Linked DNA regions of Lepisosteus oculatus. The protein of the gene in region 2 binds, or shares a complex with, the protein of the main gene of each other region. Links are inferred from orthologs where the notes say so. Each region holds a gene or a part of one and is shown on either strand. Other genes may lie near its edges.

The links.
Region 1: kat6b (region 2) and brpf3b share a complex: the UniProt entries of both Homo sapiens proteins name them as parts of the MOZ/MORF complex. The link is inferred for Lepisosteus oculatus from reciprocal best matches to the Homo sapiens genes KAT6B and BRPF3.

What each region holds. Positions count from the first base shown.
Region 1 is NC_090700.1:35,948,043-35,960,442, reverse strand, and holds the start of brpf3b (bromodomain and PHD finger-containing protein 3), read left to right. Parts: upstream 1-7,453; 5' UTR 7,454-8,054; intron 8,055-12,400. Other genes in the region: mapk13 (mitogen-activated protein kinase 13), read left to right, coding at 1,498-1,671, 1,969-2,054. UniProt on the Homo sapiens protein: Scaffold subunit of various histone acetyltransferase (HAT) complexes, such as the MOZ/MORF and HBO1 complexes, which have a histone H3 acetyltransferase activity.
Region 2 is NC_090699.1:17,866,071-17,878,582, reverse strand, and holds the start of kat6b (histone acetyltransferase KAT6B), read right to left. Parts: upstream 5,435-12,512; 5' UTR 5,197-5,434; intron 4,013-5,196; exon of another isoform or gene 3,879-4,012; intron 541-3,878; 5' UTR 313-540; coding exon 1-312. Other genes in the region: adka (adenosine kinase), read right to left, coding at 12,463-12,512. UniProt on the Homo sapiens protein: Histone acetyltransferase which may be involved in both positive and negative regulation of transcription. Required for RUNX2-dependent transcriptional activation. May be involved in cerebral cortex development.

The DNA.
Region 1 (12,400 bases), on a different chromosome or scaffold from region 2:
AGTCTTGCCACAGTTGGAACCCCATTTACTGCCTCTACCTTATACACCCATTGTGATACTGCTGCTACCCTGTACACCCGTCACTGATACTGCTGTTACCCTATACACCCGTCACTGATACTGCTGTTACCCTGTACACCCGTCACTGATACTGCTGTTACCCTGTACACCCGTCACTGATACTGCTGTTACCTTATACACCCGTCACTGATACTGCTGTTACCCTGTACACCCGTCACTGATACTGCTGTTACCCTATACACCCGTCACTGATACTGCTGTTACCTTATACACCCGTCACTGATACTGCTGTTACCCTATACACCCGTCACCGATACTGCTGTTACCCTGTACACCCGTCACCGATACTGCTGTTACCCTGTACACCCGTCACCGATACTGCTGTTACCCTGTACACCCGTCACTGATACTGCTGTTACCCTATACACCCGTCACTGATACTGCTATTACCCTGTACACCCGTCACTGATACTGCTGTTACCCTGTACACCCGTCACTGATACTGCTGTTACCTTATACACCCGTCACTGATACTGCTGTTACCCTGTACACCCGTCACTGATACTGCTGTTACCCTGTACACCCGTCACTGATACTGCTGTTACCCTATACACCCGTCACTGATACTGCTGTTACCCTGTACACCCGTCACTGATACTGCTGTTACCTTATACACCCGTCACTGATACTGCTGTTACCCTGTACACCCGTCACTGATACTGCTGCTACCCTGTACACCCGTCACTGATACTACTGTTACTTTCTACAACCGACATCTATACTGCTATTAATTTCTACACCCGTGCAACCTTTATTCATACAGCCATAGCAAGAATTGCTATAACTAGTAGTGCATCAGGCAATATGGTATAGATTATACTGCAATAGCTCTTACTGGTGTAGCTAATACAGCTGTTAATACTCCCTGTGAAATAATACTACCCATTGCTAGTATCATTATACCAAATAATTTCAATAGGTAACATACACATTGCCGGTACAGGTTCTGAGCATTTTTCTGTAATATTAAAGCATTTTGCTACTGTAAAATGGCCCTGTACATGTGTACTGTAGGTGAGTTATGTGCATTGGTGTGTGTGAGTATGTTCATGTGCTTTTATTAGTGAGCAGTCAGACCCCCTCCCACCCTCAACACACGTCCCACCTCTTCCCACTTGGGTAGCGCAGTGAGAGTCTGGTCTCTGCAGTTACAGGCAGTGTCCTTGTGCAGCTGGTCTCCATGGTAACAGGTTCTGTGCGCTGTGTTCAGCAGCTTTGAGCTGCTAATTAAAAAGTGAAACTGTGGTTAACTGGAATGGGGGGGTAAGGGGGGGAGGGGTCATAGGGCAGTTACATTTCTTCCTGTGTTACCAGTCAAACAGCCCTGCAGGGCTGGACCTTTTAACAACTTACACAGAGCTGGAGGTTTGTGTTTCTGTGTGTGTGTGCTGAGACTAAGGCTTTCTTTCTTGCCAGCGGTGGACCTGCTGGAAAAGATGCTGGTTCTGGACTGCGACCGGCGACTGACTGCGGCCCAGGCCCTGGCTCACCCGTATTTTGACAGCTTACGGGACCCCGAGGATGACATTGAGGCCAAGCCTTACGATGACACGCATGACAACGCCACCTTACCGGTCAATGAGTGGAAACGTGAGCCAATACATTGACTCTCCACCTTCTATTATTACACTAATAATCAGTCTGTCTAGTCCTCTTGTCCTGGTGAGGATCATGGCTACAGTAACTCAGAGTATTATGGTTAATAAATTCAGTGCTATTACATCTTTCGTGTTTGCTGAGAAGGAAGTCGCCAATATGAGTTTGCCAAGCTATTTTTCTCATGTACAGTGCCACCCGGTGGATAAATCTAGTGTTTGCTCTGACACTGCTGGATTTTTTACCCAAGATTTGCCTAATTATTTGTCTTCTCCTTCCTTCCTCCCCCAGGGCTGTCCTTCAAGGAAGTAAAGAGCTTTGTCCCGTTTCCACGGCGAGACTCCAAGAGGCGGAGCACACTGACGATGTCACATTGACGTGGGAGGGAGAAATGCGGACTCACACATATATGCAGACACACCTACTCGACAACACACACAGACATGCCTGCTGGGGCTCTAGGGGAGAGAAGAGCCTCTTAAGCCTTATTTCACTGAAGGTCTTAGAGATGATCACCCTACCACAGTCATGCAGAATACGCTCAGTGTGCCGTAGAGCCAGCATAAGAACAGATGGATGGTTAGATGCTAGATGAGGCTGTTTTTCCATTTTGATTACTTGTAGCATATTGATCTGAGGGTGTTTTTTCAAGTCTTCATTGAATGTTCCCAGGGAAAGATTCTGGGACATCTTAGAGTTCTCTGTGGAGATTAGCTGAAAGGATTGTTTACTGTCACTCCAGCCACACAGAGACACACAGGTGATCATGTTTGAGGCTTCATTTATTGATGTAGTCCAGTTAATGGGGAAAGCTCAGGGGGGAGCTTTAAAACATCTTTTATTTTGATCATCTTGTAGTGTCTTTTTTATTTTAGGTGGATTTTTATTAATTACTTTTCAAAAACCTTTGAACACATTGGAAAATCCTTAAATGTACAGGACTTTTAAATATGTAGTCAAATGTTTTTTATCTGAATTTAAGTTTAACAAGGTGCTTGTATTTTTGAGTGAGCAATGTACTTCTTTTCTATTTCAACTATCTGAGAACACATCCTTTATGTACAGCATTGTTTGTTATTTTGGTTAAAAAATGTCAACCAGAAAACATCTAAGGGTTAACAAAAAAACATAAAGCTATTATTAACTTTATATATAGTATAACTATAAGGGATAAACCCTTATCCTTTCAAGCGCATAGTACGTAGTGTGAGGCCTGATGCAGATGCTCTTGAGGGTGGTTGAAATTCGCTCATTTTGTGAGACAATGGGAAACTTAAGGTGTCTTTGGAAGTGCTGACTGTGCTCAGGCAGGTCGAAGCAGACAGATAAAGGTGCTAAATAAAACCCATGTTTATGAGAAATGTCTCTGTGCTAATGGAAAGCCTATCTATTGCCAGGACAGGAGTTTCATGGGTTGAGTCCTGGCTGGGCAGGATAAGTTATCTAAATGAATTTATTACACTGGGTGAACAGCCAATAAAAAAAAGGATGAGAACGTTAGAGGGTTTCATGAGACGTTACAGTTATGGCATGCTGAGTCAACTCAGAAGCTCAGTCTTACAGGAGCAGTTCACCAGGCTGGCCGATTTTAATCCGCAGAGCTAAACACATTCACAGTCGTGGAGTCAGAGAACCGCTCACAAGAAGAAAGGGCGATCTTAGAATTATTCTTGAGATAAGAATTATTCTTTCACATGCTCCTCTGATAGGAATGGTAGGAGGACCAGTGGTTGACCAGTCCAGGCCAGAGCCTACAGTACTGAAGAGGTTAGAGTCGGAAGAAGCATCAGTGTGCAGGCTGCAAAGTAACAAGCAGGGGTTAAAGCAGGGTTAATTCAACACTGAACAGTAAAAAAGAAGATAACCTGTGCTTGTTGAAAAATACCAAGATCATCCCTCGGACTCTCAAAAGCACCCTTTGTAGAGCACAGCGTTTCTGTATCTCATGGAGGGCTGAGATTGCCTTATGTAAAGCTTATTCAGCATCAACTCAAATGGTGTCTGGATTAATTGTTTGTGTACATTTTTTAAATGTGTTATGTTTTTTTTTATTCTACTCCTTGTAAAATAAAGAGATATTGAATATGTGCAAATTAAGGTCCTTAAAGTGAAATGTTGCCACACTCTGGTGTTTACTGTCTTTGTTTTATTACTTTGATGTGTTTATATTTTTAATGTAATAACCTGTGACTTATCTTTGCCAACAAAAAATTGGTTCAAGTTTGTGGAAGCGTTTAATTTAAATGTAAAAGCTGAATTTAACATTTTTAACTAAAAGACCGTGATGATATATTGTGTCAATAGTGTCCTATTATAAATTATCCTAAACTAAGTTATTCTGTTGATTAGGTCGAGATTTACACATGTCCCCAGTTCACACAGAACCAATAATGGAAGGATGTGTTGAATAAAATGCTTCTTTTGAAAATCCTCCCACCAATGACTGGGGAAAAAGAAGCAAAACATTTTTACAGCATTATTTTAAATAAATGCACTCTTAATTTAATATTAAAATTCCTGAGCTATACTTCAAGATCCATGAAACTCGCCAGTATCCTGAGATCTCATAATTGTTATCGGACAGTCTTTTTCATTTTTAATACCCCTTGCCATTAAAGAGTTTTCAGGATGCACCCTTGTTTCCTTCACAAAGTGGTAATCGTACAATGTACTCAGAAACTCGGTAACAACAATAAAATGATTCACAGTAAAAAAATTAAAAGAACTGCTTCTATAAGCGGTTTCTGCTCATAATGTCCTTGATATTTACTTTTGCATTGTCTTGTCAGAACAATTCTGTCAAGCACAACTAAGACATTTACAGCAAGGTCTGCTTCAGTCATTAGAGGCAAAATATTGAAATATTTTTTTTTTAGATACTGTCGGCGTTCTGAGTTGCGAGTTCACAAGGCCTTTTTGTTTTGTGAAAAGGTCATCTCTCACGGCATCAGCTGATAAGAGATATGGAGCCTGATTTTCCTGGGCTGACTGGGATTTGACTGTCCTTCAATTGCGACGGCTCTGGCTGCAGTAGCTGGCACACAGCTTGCCCACAGTGCAAAGTGAAGCCTTGTCAGGATAAATGAGGGTTGTTGCTGTTGCAGAATGGGAAGGGAAGGGCAACACAAGCCCACATGCTGATAACTTTTCTGCTTGAAAGTGCCCATTAAGCAGAACTGAAGCAAAAGGATTTGGAGAGAAAATGTGTAATGCTGCTTTTATTTTATTTTTTTGGTTGGGGGAATCAGTAGTACAGGGGTTAGCAATGTTGCCTTGAAGCCTGGGGCCCTGGGTTCAATTCCTGGGGTGCTGTTTGTGTGAAGTTTGTATGTTCTCCCCTTGTTGGCATGTGTTTTCTCTGGGTACTTCGGTTTCCTCCCACAGTCCAAAGACTTTTTTTTAACAAAATAAACTTTAATTGCATGATACACATCACTCCTGCAATTTGTACATTCTACCAAACCACAAAGACTACTCACGTTCTAAGAAGGGTGATTGTCCTTTTTTCAATCTGTGCAAGTGGTTGCTGGGGCTGGATTTGCACAATAAAAAGAGTTCCTCCAAGGCTCTAACACTTTGTTGCTTCATTCTCCTGCAAATCCTTCACAGGGATCCTCTCCTCCAGCTCCCTCGCTCCCCACTCTGTGTGTTGTGCTGGATGAGAGTGTTCCTCGTGTTCCACAGTCCTTGTTTTATTAGGGACACCAGTAGTTAAAGCAAGGAGAATTGGGACTGTGGTTAAGGATCTGTGCCTGTGGCTGGAAGGTTGCCGGTTCAAATCCCATGGCCAGCAGAGGAATCCTACTCTGTTGGGCCCCTGAGTAAGGCCCTTAACCCCAACTGCTCCAGGGGCGCTGTATAAATGGCTGACCCTGTGCTCTGACCCCAAGCTTCTCTCTCCCTCCATCTGTCTGCCTGTGTGTCTCATGGAGAGCAAGCTGGGGTATGCAAAAAGACAAATTCCTAATGCAAAAAATTGTATATGGCCAATAAAGTGATCTTATCTGATCTTAAGTACTGTGTCCCTTGTTCCAATCTGGTCGGTTCTGGCCCCAGCGGGATGCACTGGTAGCTGAGCACTGTTCTCGTCCAAGACAGTGTAAATGAACGTTGGGCCCTGGTGTGAGTGTGAATGAATGTTTGTGCGCCCTGCGATACAGACTGGCGCACTATCTAGGGTGTACCTTGTGCCTTATGCTTGCCGGGATGGACTCCAGCTCCCCTGCGACCCTGAATTGGATAATAAAGTAGTTGGAAAATAGATGGATTGAATCAGTGTCATAAAATATTTGCAAGACTAAAGGTCAATTTACAAGGTAGCTCAGGGATGTGAGGGTTAACGGAGGATCATCCTGGCTGGTGACAGAAGTGGGCAGCTGTGTAGGTGTTGCAACACTTGGGGACACTCGTGGGGGGGAGGAGGGGTCGTTCCTAAAAACATTTGTCACTACACTGCTTACACCTGGATTTCTGTTCCCTGTGAAGAAATGGAAAACACTTTCAGAGGGTAATTTCACAGTCCTAGGCAGTTTACCACACATTCATTTTGTATCCCTTTTTCATTCATTTTTTATTTTAAATGGCACTAAAATGTTTTGGGAAGCTTTTAATGTAACTGTGTGTGTCTTGGGGGAGGTAAAGTGGGACCTAGATATGCGCATGGGGGGAAGGGGTGTTTGGTGTGTAGTTTCAACTCCACCCACCCCTGAGAGACTGAACTGTAGCAAAACATGCAGAGCTGAGCACCACATTGTAACAAGCAAGACACCATCACAAGATCAGTCATACCAGTGGTTCCCTACAATGGTACTGGATGGCCCTGTGTCGGCTGATTTGTTTTTGTTGAGCTGAGCTATACAAATCCCAGTGCTTAAACCCAAGACCTCGTTCTTGAGAGGGGAATATACCCTCACCTCAAGATATCGCTTCCAGCAACCTCTGCATACAGATTTACAAGCAGACGCTCCTCAATTTGTTGAACCTAATTTTATTGTGGTTTACGCACTTGAATGAGGGCAGTTCTGAAACTCAGGAACTGGCACAGAGTCGATATAAATTACAAGCACTCCATAAACTTGGACAGCTGACAGCAACTTTTTAAAGTCCGTTTAGAAAACGAAAAGCAATGACCATTTCTATGATTAAGAAATCGTCTGGATCGTAAAAAACAGTCGACAAGAGTTAGAATCATTGGTATAAACCTCTTGCTTAAATTTTAAAGAAGACTGAAGTCTTCACTTAAAAAAATGCTGTGCAACACTCGATGTACACGTGTGCTTCGCTTCTGGGGGGAATGCCACAAGGGCAAGGTCATGGAAAACGATAGCGTTACCCTGTTTTTCTTGCATTTTAGCTCGTGTTTTTCACTCGGAAAACTTTTTTTTTCCGTTACTGACACTGGGAAAGACCCGGGATTCATTAGAGTGAGTGGAAAAGACACCTCTTGTACTTATTTTAAATACAGTCAATGAATCCGTAATATCTTGAAAAAGAGACTGAAGAAGCATTCCAGTGAACACTAGGTCCTACTCCTAAAGACATGCAGTAGGCTACCATTAGCTTCTACAGACGGACTAAAAGCATAATGGTTATCAAATCAATAGTACGTTATTATGACCATCACTGCGATACGCACATTCAATCTCACTTTGTCAACAAAGAGAGGCAGGGTGAAGGAATTCAGTCGAACGCGGTGCGAGGAGTGGGCTTGCACAGAAACCACGCCATGCACATGTATTTTTCTACAGGCGGGGGTAGCCGCTGCCGCATAGTAAAGAGAGCGCCCGGCTTGCCTGCTTTTCCTGTGCAGCTCCAACAAGTCCGCCGCACGCACTGTGCAGCGCTGTACCCGGGATGAGCCCGGAGTAACTGGCATGGCGCGTATGAAGGGGAAGGTCTACGTACTGGTCGTGTGTGTTGGCGTTGTGCTCCAACACACGGGACCGGAGTGTGTGTGGCGATGTTTGTGTCGGAGGGAGACACAGTAATATCGTACACTACCACGGGGTTTCCATGTTTGTCAAACAACCAGCTTCGGCAGCTCGCTTCTTTTAAAGGGGCGTGTTCTCGCTATCTTGATTGAAAGCGCCGCTTTCCCTTAGCTATCGCTGGGGAAAAAATCCTTTCGTAGCCAGACCAGGGTATCTACCTTCTCGTGTTTCTCTCAAATAAACCTTGGCACTACACTTGCCTGTTCTCCCTTAATTCTACTGGAAAACGTTCAGTCGTGGCCATGATGGAGGGTTGAAGCTGGGAAAAGGACGTTTGCACACCGAAATTTGCCGGCTTTTTCGGCCGAAGCACCCAGAGCGACGGCTCCGCTCTCCTTGGCTGTTTTTTAGCTGCTCTTGCTGTCGAGTTGCCTTTTGAAAAACAAGGTAAATGTTTAAAGTCGATTTTTTCTTATTTTTTGCGCTGCGGCGAGGTTGTTTTTAAGCAGGGGTGTAGACGGTTTTTTACTCAGAAAATTAATGGAGATTCTTAACTGCCCCCCCGGTCAAAGAAAACGGGCAATAACATAATACTGAAGGAGAGTTTTAATGTGATCTTGAGGGGATATGGCAGGAGAGGAAAGGCGCTTATTAACCGACATTGTGTTTGGGCCTGCTTGTTGTAGCGTCGTGTTGTAAAGAGAAATATTTCGATCAGCACTACAGTTTAGCGGGGAAGATGGCTGCCATCTTCTCTCCTTCTGGAAATAAAACACAGCCAACCAAACTATGGCGGTTAGGACCGCCTCTGCTAATGGCTGATTGGCTTCTTGAAGACCCTGTGAGGGCGGCAGGAGACTCTGATTGGCCGAGCGGAAGCTCACTTATGAAAAGTGGGTCTGGGGTGTTCTTGGTGGTTAAGTGTAGGGGATTCCTTCCAGAAAAATCTCCCCGAAAAACACAAGCAAAGAAAGAAGGGTATATCGGCATGAGCGAATAAACCGTTATGTCAGCTCTCAGCAGCGTTGTCAGAGAGAGATCGCGTGTTGTGGCAGTAGTTTGCGAGCTGTGCGGGTGTGTGGAGAGATGAGGAGCTTGATTTGCATAGGCCCGCCCCCAACAAGCGAAAATAAAAACATGTCATTTTGCAAAAGTTTTGCCGCGATCACAGCTGAAGGGGCATTTGCGTGTTTAGGTTGAATTTAAGACCAGTAAACTCTACCCGTTGATCCGGTTTTGATCCTTTATAAATTGAATTTTTCACTTTCTTGTCCGTATTTGATTAAACTCGCCGCTCCAATGCCATAGGCAAGAAAGAGGGAGCCTCGACTTGTTTTCTTCTTGGTGGTGGGGGACAGTTTGACAAAGTAAAATGAGTGGCTTTCTAGATAAGGACACAGGAGGGGAGTGATGCTCTCATTGAGTAGCTGGCTGAACAGGTGACCGGGATTATTTTGAGGGGGAGTATTGAATTTATCCCCCGATGCGCAAAGAGGACAGGAGCTCTAACACCGCGCCGTCAAGTCACGTGTGAGCCAGCTGTGTGTGTGCTCGGTGCAAGATCACTTCCGCCTCCACGCGTCACGACGCCTGCGCAGCGAGGCGGGAGCATTTAAATCGAAGGAGGAATGGTTGTCTTTTGGGTTGGGTCTCGCCGTATTTATGGTCTATTTACGTTTTTACGAAACATTATGGCCGCCAATTCAGGGAGTGCTTTTAAAATGGGCTTTTTAAAGCAAGACCCTAAAAGGATTATGTACCGCCGCAGAGCTTTAATTATTTTCTGAACAAAGACAAAGTTGTGAGTGCAAAGCGCGAGGAAACGTTTAGTGGATTCGGCTATCACTGTGACTCAAAGGTGTTCCGACCGATAACTGCAAAACAGTGTGATATTTCTCATAAAAATATAGATCAAGTCACATTCCTGATTATTGCCTTCATAGGCTGGCCCTGACACTTATAGGCACTTATAGTTTGGTATGTGCCGTTGATCTAAAGTAATAATAAACTATTTTATATAGCACCTTTAAAGGTGGCTTCTCAAAGCACTTTACAGAATGTCAACAACAATAAATAAAAAGAACATGCAAGATAAAACACAATTACAATACAGAGAGGAGAGGGTCGATGGTGGTACTAAGTATAGTAGGAGCAGAGGGGTAAGGAATGGAACCAGTTAAGTAAAGGCTCTTCTAAAGAAGAAGGTTTTGAGTCTGGATTTGAAGGAGTTTAGCGAAGGTGAATCTCGGATATCCTTGTGGAGAGAGTTTCAGAGCTTGGGGGGGCGTAACAGGAGAAGGCCCTGTCACCCATACAATGTAGACAGGCTTGGGGGACAGTTAGGAAACCAGAATTAGAAGAGCGAAGGTTGCGAGGTGGGGAGTAGGGCGACAATAGTTCAGACAGGTTCTTGAGGTGCTAAGCCATGCAGAGCATTATAGGTGAGCATGAGGATTGTAAATTCCACGCGGAATTTGACAGGAAACCAGTGCAAGGACGTGAAGAACACTTGCACTAGACCTGGTCAGGAGTCTGGCTGCCGAATTTTGGACATTCTTCAGTTTGTTCAATGTAGATTTAGATACCCCAGTTAGTAGAGCATTACAGAGCTTTTCAGCCCCAGTTAGTGATAGCATTGGGCGTAGTGTAGCGATATTTCGATGTTGCATGTTTGCATGTTACGTCTGTGTTTGTGTTAGTTGCTGAATGTATCTGTGCAGACTTGCCTCTGACATGATTTGCCTAGTGTTAGTATCCAGCAAGTTCCCCTTGTGAATTGTGCTTTTATATTGAAGATGGTCCTCTCTGCTGTGAACGGCAGTATGTAAAATGGCAGTGCGTTATGGAGCCAGCTGTCATATCTCCTGAGAGAGTGCTGGACTGATGGAGAGGATGGGTCAGGAGAGCCACGGATGGCAGAGCTGGTGCCACAGGTCCTACAGGTTTGTTCTAGCCAGCAGCTGTGTGTGACCTGTGGAGAAAAAGGTGGTTCTGACTGCACTAAGGAATTGATTGCTGGGTTGGAGTTGTTTGGAAGTCTTTGTGGCCCCCTTAGGGTCAATTGTTAACACATTTATAATCATAAAAAAACAATGGTGAAAAGATTTTTACTGGTGAATTTTTCACACTTGATTTTCACATTTGATTTTGGCATGGAGTTAGCTGTATTCTCTTAACATGACCAATGGGATTTGAGACTCCTTCAGTGCTGCATATATTTCCCTGTAACCCACTACAAGCGCGTCAAATACAGAGGTCCAGTTTACCTCTTAAATGCAGCATTTCAGTGCAAAGGAGAAGTGATCTATAACGAATATCCTCTTTGCATGGATATGACCCAGAAAACACTATATGGGGAATGATAGTGATATACATACTACTATATTGAATATATATATATAGAAGGCAGTATCGAAGTTGTTTCTTTATGCAACGAGTCTGGCAGTGTGGAACAAGGCACCTGGCTATGTTGTAGAAGCTGATACCCTGGCTTCCTCCTAGAAACAACTTGGCTTCTAGGTTCCTTGGATCGGTTCGATATTGAGTACTGAATGTGCCAAAGTGTCTCCTCTCGTTTGTAACTGTTTTTGTGCACTGAAGCATCTAACACTGGAAAGGTAATTAATCCCACAGCCTTCCCTCTGCCCTCCAGCAGAAAACTAGGCCAGCTGAAGAGTATGGAGCAAGGACCCAGCAAACGTAACACTCCTTTCTTGTGAAATAACATCTCATCAGAATTGATGTTCTGCCTTTAAAAAGCCAAGCACAGGGGTGGCCTACGACTGGAGCCACAAACTGGAGAGCCGTAGACCAGCAGGTCTTATGTGGCACATCAGCAAGACCAGGCAAGAGCAGCCTCTGTAAACTGTACTAGAGCTCAAGGAACACAAAGGTGAATTTATTAAATCAAAAGCCTGTCTTGATGTTTAAAGATCTTTTCTGCAGCTGTGGTGAAGTTATAGTTGCAGGAACAGAGGCACCGTACTGCTACAGACAAACGTGTCCATTCCTAATGTTTTTACAGGTGGCCGAAGAGGCTCTGCCTTGAGACAAGAAGTCTCAAGATTTCCCAGTGAACTGTTCTGGGAGAAGTGGGAATTTGCAGGTTTGCCCACCTGACTTGAATCCCAGCAGCTTTAAATAATCGGTGTTAATTGCTTACTTTAATTGACACCTGAAGAAGGCTTCACAGCCGAAACGTTGTGCTTTCTCTCTTCTCTTTTCAGCATGGAATGAACCTATTACTTATTACTTTAATTGATGATTATAAAGCTGTGAATAGGTGATCAATTTATGATGAACAGACCAAGGTGGAAATGACAGTTGCCAAGTACTCCCTGAAGGTGTTTTCCTTTGAAAACTAGAGGGGGGTCTTCATTTTAAGAAGCAGGTACAGGACTAATGCAAGTTCCATTCGACATTTGAAGACGTGAAAGCAAATTTAAAAATAAGCCCCACATAGAAAACTGAAAACAAATTAGCCTGTTGTAAAGATCTGGCTGGCGCAAAAGCCAGAAGACGAACCACTGGCAAGAGTATTTGGGAGTGCTTGTTTTAATATGGCATGTCTCCATGTCCTGGAAGCTCTGCAGTGTCCTGCTAGCAGTAAAGAGTTTGAAATGTAAATGAGTTTTGATGTAGTTTTGTTCATCAGCAGGTGATTGTGGAGCCTGTTGAGTCATTGTGATCAGTTGCCACGTTGGGATAGGAAATTAGCAACCACTTCCAAATCGTTCAAAACAAAGTCTGTTGCCATATAAGCTGACCCCCAGTTTTCTCTGTCTTCTTCTCTC
Region 2 (12,512 bases):
AGGAGGAGGAGGGGGGGCAGGGGGGAGATGGGAAGGCGGGGGAACGGGAGTAGCTCCAGATTTGACCGCGGAAATCCGGCCCGGGTTGTCCGGGTCCTTGTAAGACGTGCAACCCTTGTTTGTGACCTTGAGGATGGAGCCATCGTGGACGCTTAATTCCAACTGCTCGAGAACAGTCTGCTTGTCGAGCCCGTGCGTGGCGGCCACGGCATGGCAAATCCTCTCTTCGGACGGCCTCTGCTTCTGCCTCTTAACCTTCTGTATCGCCTCGAGAATCCACTCTGTGTACAGAGGGTTGGCCAGTTTCACCATGGTTGAAGAATTTGTTTCAGAACAGAGCGATCCATAGAGATTTCCCGTTATTCTTGAAACGCGTTAAATGCATCCATAGCTCCAAAGGGACTTTGGAATGAAATGTGGCGGTGCAGCACGTGGCATCATGACTGTAAATCCTTGGAACAGCAGGGAAGTGAACAGCCGAGCACGGTTCATCTGAAGACAAATCCTTAATGGTTTGGGCTCGGAAAACTCGACGGAAACCTACGAAAAGAAGTCAGAAGAGAAAGCAGATTACTACAGCAAGAATGAATTAACAGGCTTGCTTCCTAAAAGCGGTTCAGTAATCCGTTGGGATTCGATTTTGAAATAAAAAACAGGACGGGTTTAACTTCAGGTTGCGACTCAAAGAACTAAAGCGGAGAGCAGATGTGGACTGATACACGACACTGCATGACTACTGTATCTACTTAAGAGTTTCCATCAGTCACAAAACAAAACAACTGGGATAATTCAGGTGTGCCCACTTATCATCAGCACAGGAAAGAGCTGCAGCTACCGTCACAGTGTATTGTTGGCAGTGAACTGAAAATGAGACATGAACAGAAAGCACCAACCCCAAGACCTTGCTTTAAACACTCATGTTCGGTTTTTAAACAGACTGAAAGGTATTTCATCCTTATCCTGCGTATTTCCACGGGAAATCCTATACCTGGGGAAAATCTCGATTCTAACCTCAGCCGTCTCCGTTGCTCAGCCTCGGAAAGATCTTTATCATAGAGCAAAAAATAAACCCGCCTGGTTACTTCCCTTCGCGTTCAAGGAACCTGAACAGCTGACGCTGCAGAACACCCTCAGCGTTCGTCTCCTGACATTCGCCAAGTGGAGCCCTCTGGTCCGCAAACCTGCCATGAGCACATCTGCACTTGTCACCCGTGGAAAAGGGCAAGGCCCCGCTTCCTGCCACTCTCCCGGAGCATCCCAACAAAACCTCTGGCACAGGCCAGAGCCAGTAACACATCAAGACCCCCTGATGCACAGACAAACGTCCTGGCTCTACACCACTGCAGACCATATCTGAATGGGCAGAAAGCAAAGAGATAATATCATAACCCGTCTACAGCATGAAAGAACGGATCACATCAAAAAGGCCAGAAAACAAGCATCGCTAATACCTGCTACAAATGTTTGACAGCAACGACTTCACGCCAAGATTAAGTCTTCTAATCCCTGGAACAGACAAGCGTCTCGCATACTGCGATTTTCTGAGAGACAAACGGCTTTACTTATTAATGTGTGTAGAAATTTTCATCTCAAAAGATCTCAAACTGCTTTATGTCCACCCATTGTGTCCACACACAGCAGCCCCACCACGTAGCGGATCAGGGGGAGGAGACAGGAAACTGCACCACCAGCGGAATTAAGAGGAGCCTGAAGGAGGGCAGACTGTACAAGCCCAGAGTGGAACTGAGCCAGAACTCCTCAGGTAGATACTGATGGGATCTTTAATGACCCAGAAGTCAGGATCTGGGTTTACAATTCATCTGAAGGACAGTACCTCCAAACTGGAGGAATGGTTTATAAATCGTGGTCCAAATGAAAGAGCGCCACCTACTGGTCTACAATCACCACTTGTAGGAGCAAGCTGTTTTCCTTAAGAGGTCTCCCAGCCCTGTTCTGACCAGGCCCACCCCTCTTTTACATCTGAGACATGACTAGGGCGGGCGGGCTACAAGGTGGTCATCCAGCTGAGAAAGTGCCGTTACTGGTACCGAGATCTCTCACCAGCAACTCCACTCCAAGAACACCTCTGAGGATAGAGAGATATGCGTACTTGTAAATCACCCCCGATTCTGTGGACATTCTTTTGCAAAAGCATCATGAGATGCAGAAAGAAATGAGGAAATGGATGTCAGTCACAGGTCACTTGTTGAATAAAAATAATACAGACAAAACCTAAAGCCTATCAGGTGACTTTCAATAGGCAGGGGCTCCAATAGTTTTTTTTTTCCCCCTACACCAAAACAAATAATGCTCAGTTAACAGGACATAAACATTAGATTTACATACGTCACACATAGCTACTATTATTTCAGTCAACTGTCACCTTTAAGGATTCTGAGCCCGGCTACCTGCGGCGTCACCTCAACAGGCTCTCCTGCAGTCCTGTGGGGCCCGCCCATTGCCGAAAAAAACCCTGCAGTGACCTCCTGGGGGCCAGCTGACACACAGAGATGGACAGATCGCTCCACCAGTAACCGCGCTGAAGATCAGGGGCAAAAACGAAGCTGAAACTGGGCACACGCAGTGCAGTACAGTACGGCCAAAAGACCACTTGGACAGCACTCAGGCAGGTTCTTCTTGTGGTGCTGGAGTGAGATTGATCTGGATCGGGAGGAGGGGGTAAGAGACAGATGGATCGAGTCTGACCAGGAGGACTGGAGCTGGAGACGGATTTGGAGAAGTGGCGGTAAACCATCAGTCAGGGTTTGTCTGAGACTTTAAGCTAGAGATCTGGGACTGCATACACATATTTTGTCTCAACTCTTATATCAGAAACACTAGGGATTTGTCAACAAAAGCCAAATCTCTAGTGTCCCAACTAGTGTCACAGCTCCCGTAGGTCAGAATGGAGGTCAGCAAGTTCAGAAGAACAGAAAGTACCTGACTACAACAGGAAACAAAAGGGGAGGGGTATTTTAAAACGCCCAAACAACCACATTATTTACTAACGTTTAATAAGCAACTTTTCCGCTCTAAAAAGTAGCCGGGCAGCAGACATCCCAGTACACCAGAGTGAAATAAAAAAAAAACGTGAACATCTAATAGTCAAACGGACACAAAAGCCCTCCATCAATAAAAACATATCGATATCAAAACCACACGTGCACGTAAGGAGTGTTTTTTTCTCTCTCCATCTGCTACAGGCCTGCGGGGCGAGCAGTGCGCCGAGCAGCCAGCAGGTGACCCGCAGTGTGCAGATTCTCTCGGGCTCCTCTACCTGCTACAACCCCCAGATCACACTGCGGCTGCAGGGCAGGCGAGCACTGCAAGAAGCGGACACGCATCCCGCAAACTCCGTCCCCCCCGCCTCCGCTGCGTGTCCCTCTTCCGCTGTCACGGTCCGCTCGCGCACTCCCACGGGCGACCGTGGCCGCGACTCCAAACTCTGCGCGACCGTGGAGGGGGGGAGAGGGAGGGGGGGAGCCCATTCTAACAAGCGCACACACATCGGGATGAAAATAAAAATTAAACAACATTTAACGTGAGAAAGCACTCCAGGTGTGAATCTCATCCCTCTCACACCAGGCGCTCGCGTGTTTAATCGCCTCTCCTTAAACTTGAGACGCGCCCGAAGTTCACTAAAGAAACACTCGCTAACCACCCACCGAGGAGGGGGGGGGGGGGACATCGTCGCTCGGAGTAAAAACCTGTCACTGTTCTGGTTTCAAGTTTAAAGGTGCATCACCAATGTTCTGGGTTACCTCGCACGAAACACACTGTGCGTCCGCTTCCGACGGGTGATCAAGGATAATTTATGACGGCGAGTTAATGCTGCAATTAACGTGCGCGCTGCAATGAATGAAAGGCAAACCACAAACCTGGACTTCTAACAGCTGAGTGGCTGTAGGGCTGCCTGCGCCGCTGCCTGCTGGTGTTACCTAAACAGACGCCATTTTGTTACAATGTTGTAGTTTACATGAATCCGACATGACACTGATTACAGCCCAATGGAGTCTCATTAAGCCTTACCTACACGCTGATGCGCCCTCCCCAGCAACTTTAATATTGGTCCAGAAACACCAAGCCCGATTTCTGGTTTGATAAGCGTCTTGTCAGTCATCCGCCTAAGGCCTGCCCTTCGGCCAACTCGTCTACGCGACTGGTGGGCACAGCTGCCAATCATTCCTCGGCGTCCCTCCTCTTAAGGTAATCGGTAAATTACGCTGCATGCCACTCGCACATCCCCCGGTGCGGTTTCCCAGGGATTACAAAAAATTAAATTAAAGCACGACTCAATACGGGATTTAGCCAAAGGATTTATTAATCGAGTCATCGACTAAGATAAAAAATGACAGCAAAGAGTTCACACAAGCTGAAAAAATGCCCCGTGACTTGGCAAGCAGAGACTCAACCCTCGCCAGCCCACCTTTACAAAGGCTCCATCTCGAATCGATTGGCTACTGTCGAAAGTGAATTGGAACATTTTAGATTTTAATTGGTTGACGGTTATATCCATCATTTATTTGCTAAAGTACCACATAATCGCCTATGCCGAAGTTTGTCGGGCTGTAATGTTTATATCCTTAGCGGAGCTTTGCAATACGAGAACGTTTGCTTCGCTGCTTTAATTGCAGTAACACCATCTTTGCGCTGGGCTACACGATGCTCTCGATTTTTTGGTGAAACCTTTTTTTCCATGCATTTCACCACCCGTGCAAATAATTTAAACAAATGTAAAATGCATGCACGGAATTCATTCTCGTTATTTTGCATCGCCTCTTTCCCCCAAAAAATTAACACATGCGCTTAATATTTATCTTTTACCTGACGATAAATAAATCACCAACTCGACATTTCTTGACAAATACTGATTTTCGAGGACATAAAATCAACCAGGTCATATGGAAGTCTAAGCGTCTATGTATAAAATCTGGAAATTTCCATCGCAACACTTAAAAGATGCATTCTTATGTCGCCCAGACCATTTTCTCCAGTAACACGCCTCTTTACCACTGTAAAATTTCTGCGCGGTTTTCAAGTTAAACGTGAAATGATTCCACGATGATGCTGCTGCTGCTCCACGCTCAATCTTTGCAATATAACCAGACCGAGAACGAGAAGAAGAACGAACGAAACCGGGGAAAGAGGAAAAAAAAATGCCTGCTAACGCTAATGCGAACATTTGTTGGTAGTTACCTTTTTTAAGTTTGCTCGGGGTTCTCCTCTCTTCTCCCCATAAATGCGGTAATTAAACGATGAAGGAGAAATAAATAAAAACCGGGAATTCCAAAGGCGTTCTTTTATTTAATAAATGGACGCACGCGACAGCTCGCGCTGAGGCAGAAGGACCTGATAACAACTAATTGAAAGGTTAATCTGCATAGCAGTCTGTGACAAAGTAGTACCCTCCCCTTTCTTCACTCTGCCTCTAATGCACTTTGGAAAAGGAGAGTTAAAGTCGTGTTCCTCTGTCGGTGTACACTTAAAACTGCGACCAGGGGAAATTAATCTCCCTCCCCTCTTCGGGAAGGGGGGGCATAAAGACCACCTTTATTAATAACATCGTTAGAGGGGAGAGAGAGAGAAGTATTTTATTGATTAGATTGGAGGAAGCCGCGTATTTCACAAAATGCCAGGACATCACAGGACTTTTGTCATTGCAATAAGAATAGTTTTGACAGACATGAATTGTGTTTAAATCCCTGCGTGTCTGTCTGTAAACCACACCAGATCCAAGGGAATAATGCAACAAAGATATGAAAATACTGCATACTAAATTATGGAATGGAGTGCAAGTATGTTTCGCGACTTTAAGGGTAAAACAGATGGATTTTTTTTCCCTGGTGAAAACAAAAACATGATTTGTGAGGCTAACAGGGAATGACATGTGGTTGTAGTCCTTCAGAAGAAAGTTAAAATTACGTAATTCCTTAAAACTACGACACATTGATGGCATTAAAAAAACTCTTCGTCTTGCTGTAAGATCGAACTTTTTGGACAGGGGTCAGAGCGAAGTAAAAACCTTATGTGAGAAACGTTTTTGAGCTACAAATGTGCACCTAACATACAACTAATAATTTTAGAATCCTACCCACGATAATTGTGCCACAAAACTATTCCTTACCCACATCACACTGCAAGACTCCCGCCCTGTTTCCCAGCCCAAGCGTTTGAACCCATTTCTCTGACAGACTGCTAAAAGCCCACCTGGTATTTTCACCATATATCACGATACAATTACCTTTAAACCTAAGGAGCTGTAACATCTGTGTACGTCAGTCTCTTTTTCTTCCTGCGTGACAGTAGGTATCAGATTGCACAACTGAATTGAAATGATATGAGAAAGAAATGTGCGCATGGCCAATTGGTATAGTTCCCACAGGGTAAAATGTTGATTGCTGGATTATGATATTTTATTTTGCCGTGTATGTGCAGTACCTGAAATTAGTTTATTTGGTTATATGGCCATGTATTTGTGAATGAAATGTTGTGGTGTTGCATAATGAGTGAAAAAACAGCCTGAGATATCTGTGTTTTCGGTATGGGTATAAGGTACTTGTCTTTCCCAAATAATGCAAATAAGCCTTGTTGGGCCTCACTCTAGTTTGTCCATGTCAGTCAGTGCTGGGACTCCCACAGTCTCTAAGGGGAACCAGTATCACCCAAGAGCCTCACAAGCAGAAGTTCATCTTCTGAGACAGATGGATGACTGTTTGTCTTTAATGATCCAGTTAGTCCGCGCTCGAGTTTGATTGTCCTATGCACCTACAGGTAATCAACACAAATGAATTGCAATTAATTCAGCCGCTAAAACAATTTCTCCACCTGATCCGCCGGAGCATTTTGGCAGTAGTGGGCCACGAGGACGTGTGAAGATTTGTCGGATTCTTCAGGATGAAAAGCTCCATAAAAAAAAGAAAATGAAATTTCCCCAACTAACATTTATACTTAATGTATTGCTTTTTTAAACGGTGCCATCTGTGACACCTTTCTGGCGTCAAACACCTTGTCTATCACACCTGGCTTCTTTCCTGGAAAGCAACCCAGTGAACACACAAGGATAAACTTAGCCTGTAGTCCTTATCATCTCGTCAAGGAGCAGCACACTGGGAATACAAGCTTATTACTCAACTGATGACAGATTGCTCGGTGAGAATCAATTTGCAATTGATACATTATATTTATACCGAAAGGGTTTTGTTACATTTTTTTCTAGCAGCGTTCCAGTTTTTAATTTCCAACTGAACTCCTTGTGCGTTCCCTGGCCTGTTCCCTGTTTAATTATGATCCACTGGTCTAGTCCTCTTCCCCCCCTCCCCAGGATGACCGAAGCCTAACAGCCACCAGCACTGAAAGCTGAACAGATTCATGTCACCCAAGGTAAAGAGCTTGGCTGAAATGCACTCCAACAAGAGTGAGTCTAACGTAGCTCTGCTGTTCAGCTTCGCTGGGACTTCCGAATGTTTTTCAAGGCAACAGCATTCTGCTTGTTGAATATCATTTCACTATTGCTTCCTGTAGAGAAGTGTTAATATAGAGGCAGGAGATTTTTTTTTTCTGCAGAGTTGTGTTATATACGGTATTCCTACCATCATCATGCACTCTGCCGAGTTTGTGTTTTTTATTCAAGAAAGACAACTATTAAAGAAAGAAAGCTATTAATTGCAAGTGAGTAATGCAGCCAGGGTTTAGTATCGTACCTTGGCAATCACACTTGTCCCGTGGCCAAGAAAAACAATTTTATGTAATCAAGCCATTTGGAAAATATTTAGGCTATTTCTTCGTTTTTTTCTAAGAGGCACAAAGAGACTTCTATAGTATTACATAGGAAAGTTTGATTAACAAACGCTTTCAACTCTGACAGCATTCCTTTGCTATGTAAATGAACTTAAAATGATTAATGCATCTTTAGAAGCAAAATCTAATTAGATGAGTTTCACATATTCCTATATTGAGCAGTGTAGTTTCCCCATTAAGGCTGTATTGTATGTTATGGACGGAAGTCTTTTCATTGAACACTGACAAACAGCAGTAAATGTAGAAATAACATTTTCAGGCTGGGCTGATGATTAGAAGGGAGACTTGTTGGGAAGATTACACACTCAGTAAAGAATCAGAAAAATAACACTTTACTTTAGTACTTTAAAAATGATAGTTTTTAACCAAATACAGCAGTTTAACCTGCTGGCTTTACACAATCCACGTGGTTGGCTGTGCTGTGGTGCTGCCGGCACAGAAGAGTTGCTGTCATGTGCCACCAAGGTGCAGTAAGCGAGTCCCCTCCTACTGTCTATGTAAAGTGCTTGGGGATCCTTCAGGAAGAAAGGCGCTATATCAACACATTTGTCACTCCTACAAAAGAGGTAAAAATATATGTGATGAGAGCCACAGCCGCTCATCCTGGTTTCAGTGATGAGAGCGTGTTACTGCTGCCTGGGTGGGATACTGACTCCCCAGCACTGCTGGTCACTAATTGTACAGCTGGGTGGACTGGGGCCACTGGGGTGCAGTAGCTGCCTCAAGGCATAACTGCAATGTCTGCAGCAGAGGCTCAAGCCCATAACCCGTCAAGTCATGAGTTCGAGGTGGACCAAAGTGCTACGCCGACCCACTGCTATAGAACGGGCGAAAAGAATGCAAAAATCGACAAAGGCGGGTAAAAGGCTTAATATAAATGTGCTGATGCTGACTCTCACTCTCATTCCCTCCAAATTCCGTACCGATCTGCTGGACCAGACGAAGAACTGGACTTCATGTGTGTGACTGATACTTGAGGATGTCAGCTAACGTTTGCTTTTGACAAAGACACTTGGAGGGAAGGGCTGTCAGCGAACACATCTGCTGGAAATCACTTCAGTAACTGGCTGACATGTCTCCAAGATCAGTGCCACGTTACAAAAAACATCAGTTTCTTCTTTGTAGTGTGTATTTGTTTACTTTTAACTCGTCCCTACAAGGACAGGGGACCTAGCTGCGCTGGCAGATGGCCAAGGCTCATGTCCCGTTCCCACTGGAGACAGAACTGTCCAGCGGCACAGTGGAGCCGTGGCAAGGGACAGACAGTCTGAAGTGTGAGGGTGAGGCGAAGTCAGGGGATTGGGGGCAGCGTGGGGATCTTAGACTTTTTTGCTCCGGGAACACTGTAATCCCAGTCCTGCAACACAGATTGGCCAAGGTGCCAGAACTTTGAACCAGGAGCAATGTTTGTTCTGTTTCAGATGATCATGTTGTCTGAATAATGTAAATAATATGCGTTTCTTTACTTTTGAAGAATGAAGAACACCAAGATACCATAAGACATAGAAAAAAATCCTGACTCCTTGTGCAAAGTGTTATGAATTTGACCTCGACTAATCGATTCCCTTTTATTCAATCTGAAGTTCTGTCAGTCAAATATACTTTACAAATGAATTGAATGGGTGCCTTATTTAAGGATCTGCAGCACCATGTTTTTTATTTAACTAAAGATAAGAAACTAGCTTGTGGGAGAGGTAGGGTTCTCTTTGAAGACAGACAGGAATGGAACAGGATTGCACCTCAATATCTGGGCGAAGCTCCGTGGCCTCTAAAAGATCTCTCCTGCTCCATCGGCTCTTCCCACATGGCTCCCTGCAGCTCACTGCCAACTGCAGGGTGACGTTCAAGACAGACACACCTGCCCACAGCCAGTGCTCAGTTGACAGATCTCTGTTCTTTCAGGTTCTGGCTTTTAGAGAAAAATGTTTTCCGAGGAAGTCAGGAACCAAAAGGAGGAAAAATGTGCTGCACTGAGCTGTTTGTTTAATACGCCCAAATTCTCTTCTAGTTTGATCTATTTCACATTTGCAGTGTTCATTTTTAAACCTATCTGAAAACAATCCCTAGGATTTTTTTTTTCCAAGGCAGTCCCATTACAAAGTGCTAGGATGGTATACATGGAAATCTGCATGCTTTCTTTGAAGTCTCTGGGAACAGGGAGTGCCTTCAGCAAAGAGGGAAAAAAAAGCACAATGCTTTTTTTTTCCTCTGTAAGGCTACCGAGGACTAAAATAAGACAATCCAAAACAGCTGATCTTTCAATTGCAATAAAAATAATAAAAAAAGCAAATGCAATTATCTGCAAACTAAATTGGTGAAACCCCCCATAAATGTCAGTTTCCAAATGACTGTAAACACTCCCATGACTTAATCATGGCTCCTTCCTTTTGTATGTTTGTGTTTTTGCCATCTGCCACCTTGAGCAGCAGAATTAAGCAGCTGCCAGTGAGAGAGTGATCTGGACCAATCAGCAATGTGATCCTTTTCAAACTGCATCTGTGTGAAGCACTGCAAAATGTGGATAGGAAAAAAAGGCTCTAACAAGTTGTTAATTACATTTTCCCTAGGAAAAAAATCTTTTAAAGAAAGCTCCATTAGCATAAATGTCTTAACACATATTAGACTGATGTAATCAGACACAGCTCTCTGCCTCTCGTTCCTGGAAGTAAATGTAGATCTGAGAAAAATGCTACCACTTCATTATATTAGCGAAGATTAAAAGCAAAGCGCTTAAGAGTGATTTGGCTCATGAGTATTCTCAGTTGTGTTAATTTAAAAATGAGTAATTTAGGGCTGAAATGTCTGAAACATTTAAAACAGACGGGAGGAGTTGGGGGGAGGATTTGTATCTTCCCAAAAAACTGCAAAAGAACCAAAGAATATTTGACTTGTGTCACATCAGCCCTTGTGCTAAAAGGTTATTATGCACATTAATAGTTAAAGGGTGTGTGTTTACTGACACATTAATTCCCATCAAATTATTTCCACCAAATTAAATTTTATATGCCGTACTTAGTCCTCAATTAATGTTAAAGATGATGTGGAAAACAAGACACTAAGATATCTCAACTCGGCTGTATAAGACAATAAGGAAAAAGGATAGGGTGACTCATCCTTCTGTAACCATTCTGCTGTATTTCTTCATTAATCACATGCAGATGGGAGTTTCAGTAGTGGTCCATACTCTGTGGTAGCAGCCCATGAATACTGCTCCGCTCACTCTACTGGTGAACGGCTCACATGGGCTATGATTAATTAGAAACAAGTCTTTCTGAAAAGATGAGTGCGGTACTCTATCCTACTACGTCTCCCGCTCTTGTTCATAATAAAGATGTCTTTCAGAAGCTGTGATCCTGCTCTCTGCTCCTTTGTGGAGGGGACGGTGACCTGCTCCAGCCGAGGAAAAAGAAGAGCAGGAGGCTCGCTGGCCGGCCGTGTGTGTGATAACGGGGAGATGCAGTGTGAGCACGCTGTGGCCCTGTTCAGTTTTAGGAAGGGGGCGGGGCTGTGCACAGAGCCCCCCAACCTCGCCGCTCTGCTGTCTCCCGTGGAGAGGGAGGCGTCCAGGGCTGTTTCAAGCCTCCCTCTGACCACTGCCTGCCAATGTCAGCGCCATCACCCACCAGCCTCACAGCTGGCGACCAAGGATCAGTCTAATTTCCAGCTCCCTCTAATGATCACCATGAAGAGCAACCACTAATCCCATAACTGAGAAAAATGACCCCCCGCAGGCTTGCAATCGAGATCCAGAAACACGCCGCACCTCGTCAGAACCCCACGGTGTCCCCAGGGGAGGGGGGTGGGGTGGGGGATGATTCCCCCAGGGGGCAGCACCAAGCCCCCCAGGGCAGGACCCCCTTCTGCTGAGGAGCAGACAGAGACGGCCGCTTCAGAGCAGCACATGCCCAAGTGTTTTTCACTCATTGCTAGAAACCAGAACATAAAGTAAACAACATATGGTTAGATCCATTTTTTTTATTTTTTGTCAGTTTAAGATGGCGTCACGTGGAAAAAGGTTCCCCTGCTTCAACACATAACTGGATGCAGACGAGACGTCCTCTCGTCATCCAGGCCATCTGTACAGGTTTTCAAAATGTGCGCTTCGTAAACTATTTGGTATATCATGGCAAGTTCGAAGTCTGCATAAAAACTCCTGTGCTGAAATCGGGGGAGCTGTCTTGAAGAAAGGGACGATATTTATTTAATTTTAAAGCGAAGTGAGAGCTTTTTAGAAGTTGCTAATTACCAAGAGACAGTTACTTCAGGTTTTAGTAGTCTTGCTGTTTGATTAATGCAAATGCATCACTGCACCTTGTCAAAAACAAATAACCAGATGTGGCTTCAATGTTGTCTCCAACGGCCGAGGAAGGAAACCAAATACTAGTTCATCACCCCCCCCCAAAAAAAAATTAAAACATGTTTAATACAGCCATTTAAGTAATGAATCACTGCTTCTTTTTCATATAAAAAAGGAAATGAAAACATTCATTTGAGTCCATTTAAATCACATCTCTTCGTGTAATTACATCTCCGAATCGTGGCCCTCTGGGAGTCGGGACCGAACGGAAACAGGAACACAGAAGTCTCCATGCAGGCGGCGGGGCGACGTTGGGCGGCTGAGGAAGAGACAGGAGCAGCTGGCGCTCCCATCATGCCTTTCGGCTGTCAGTGAAAGTCTGGCTTTTCGGGGAAGGTGCACCCTGCGCGCCTGATGA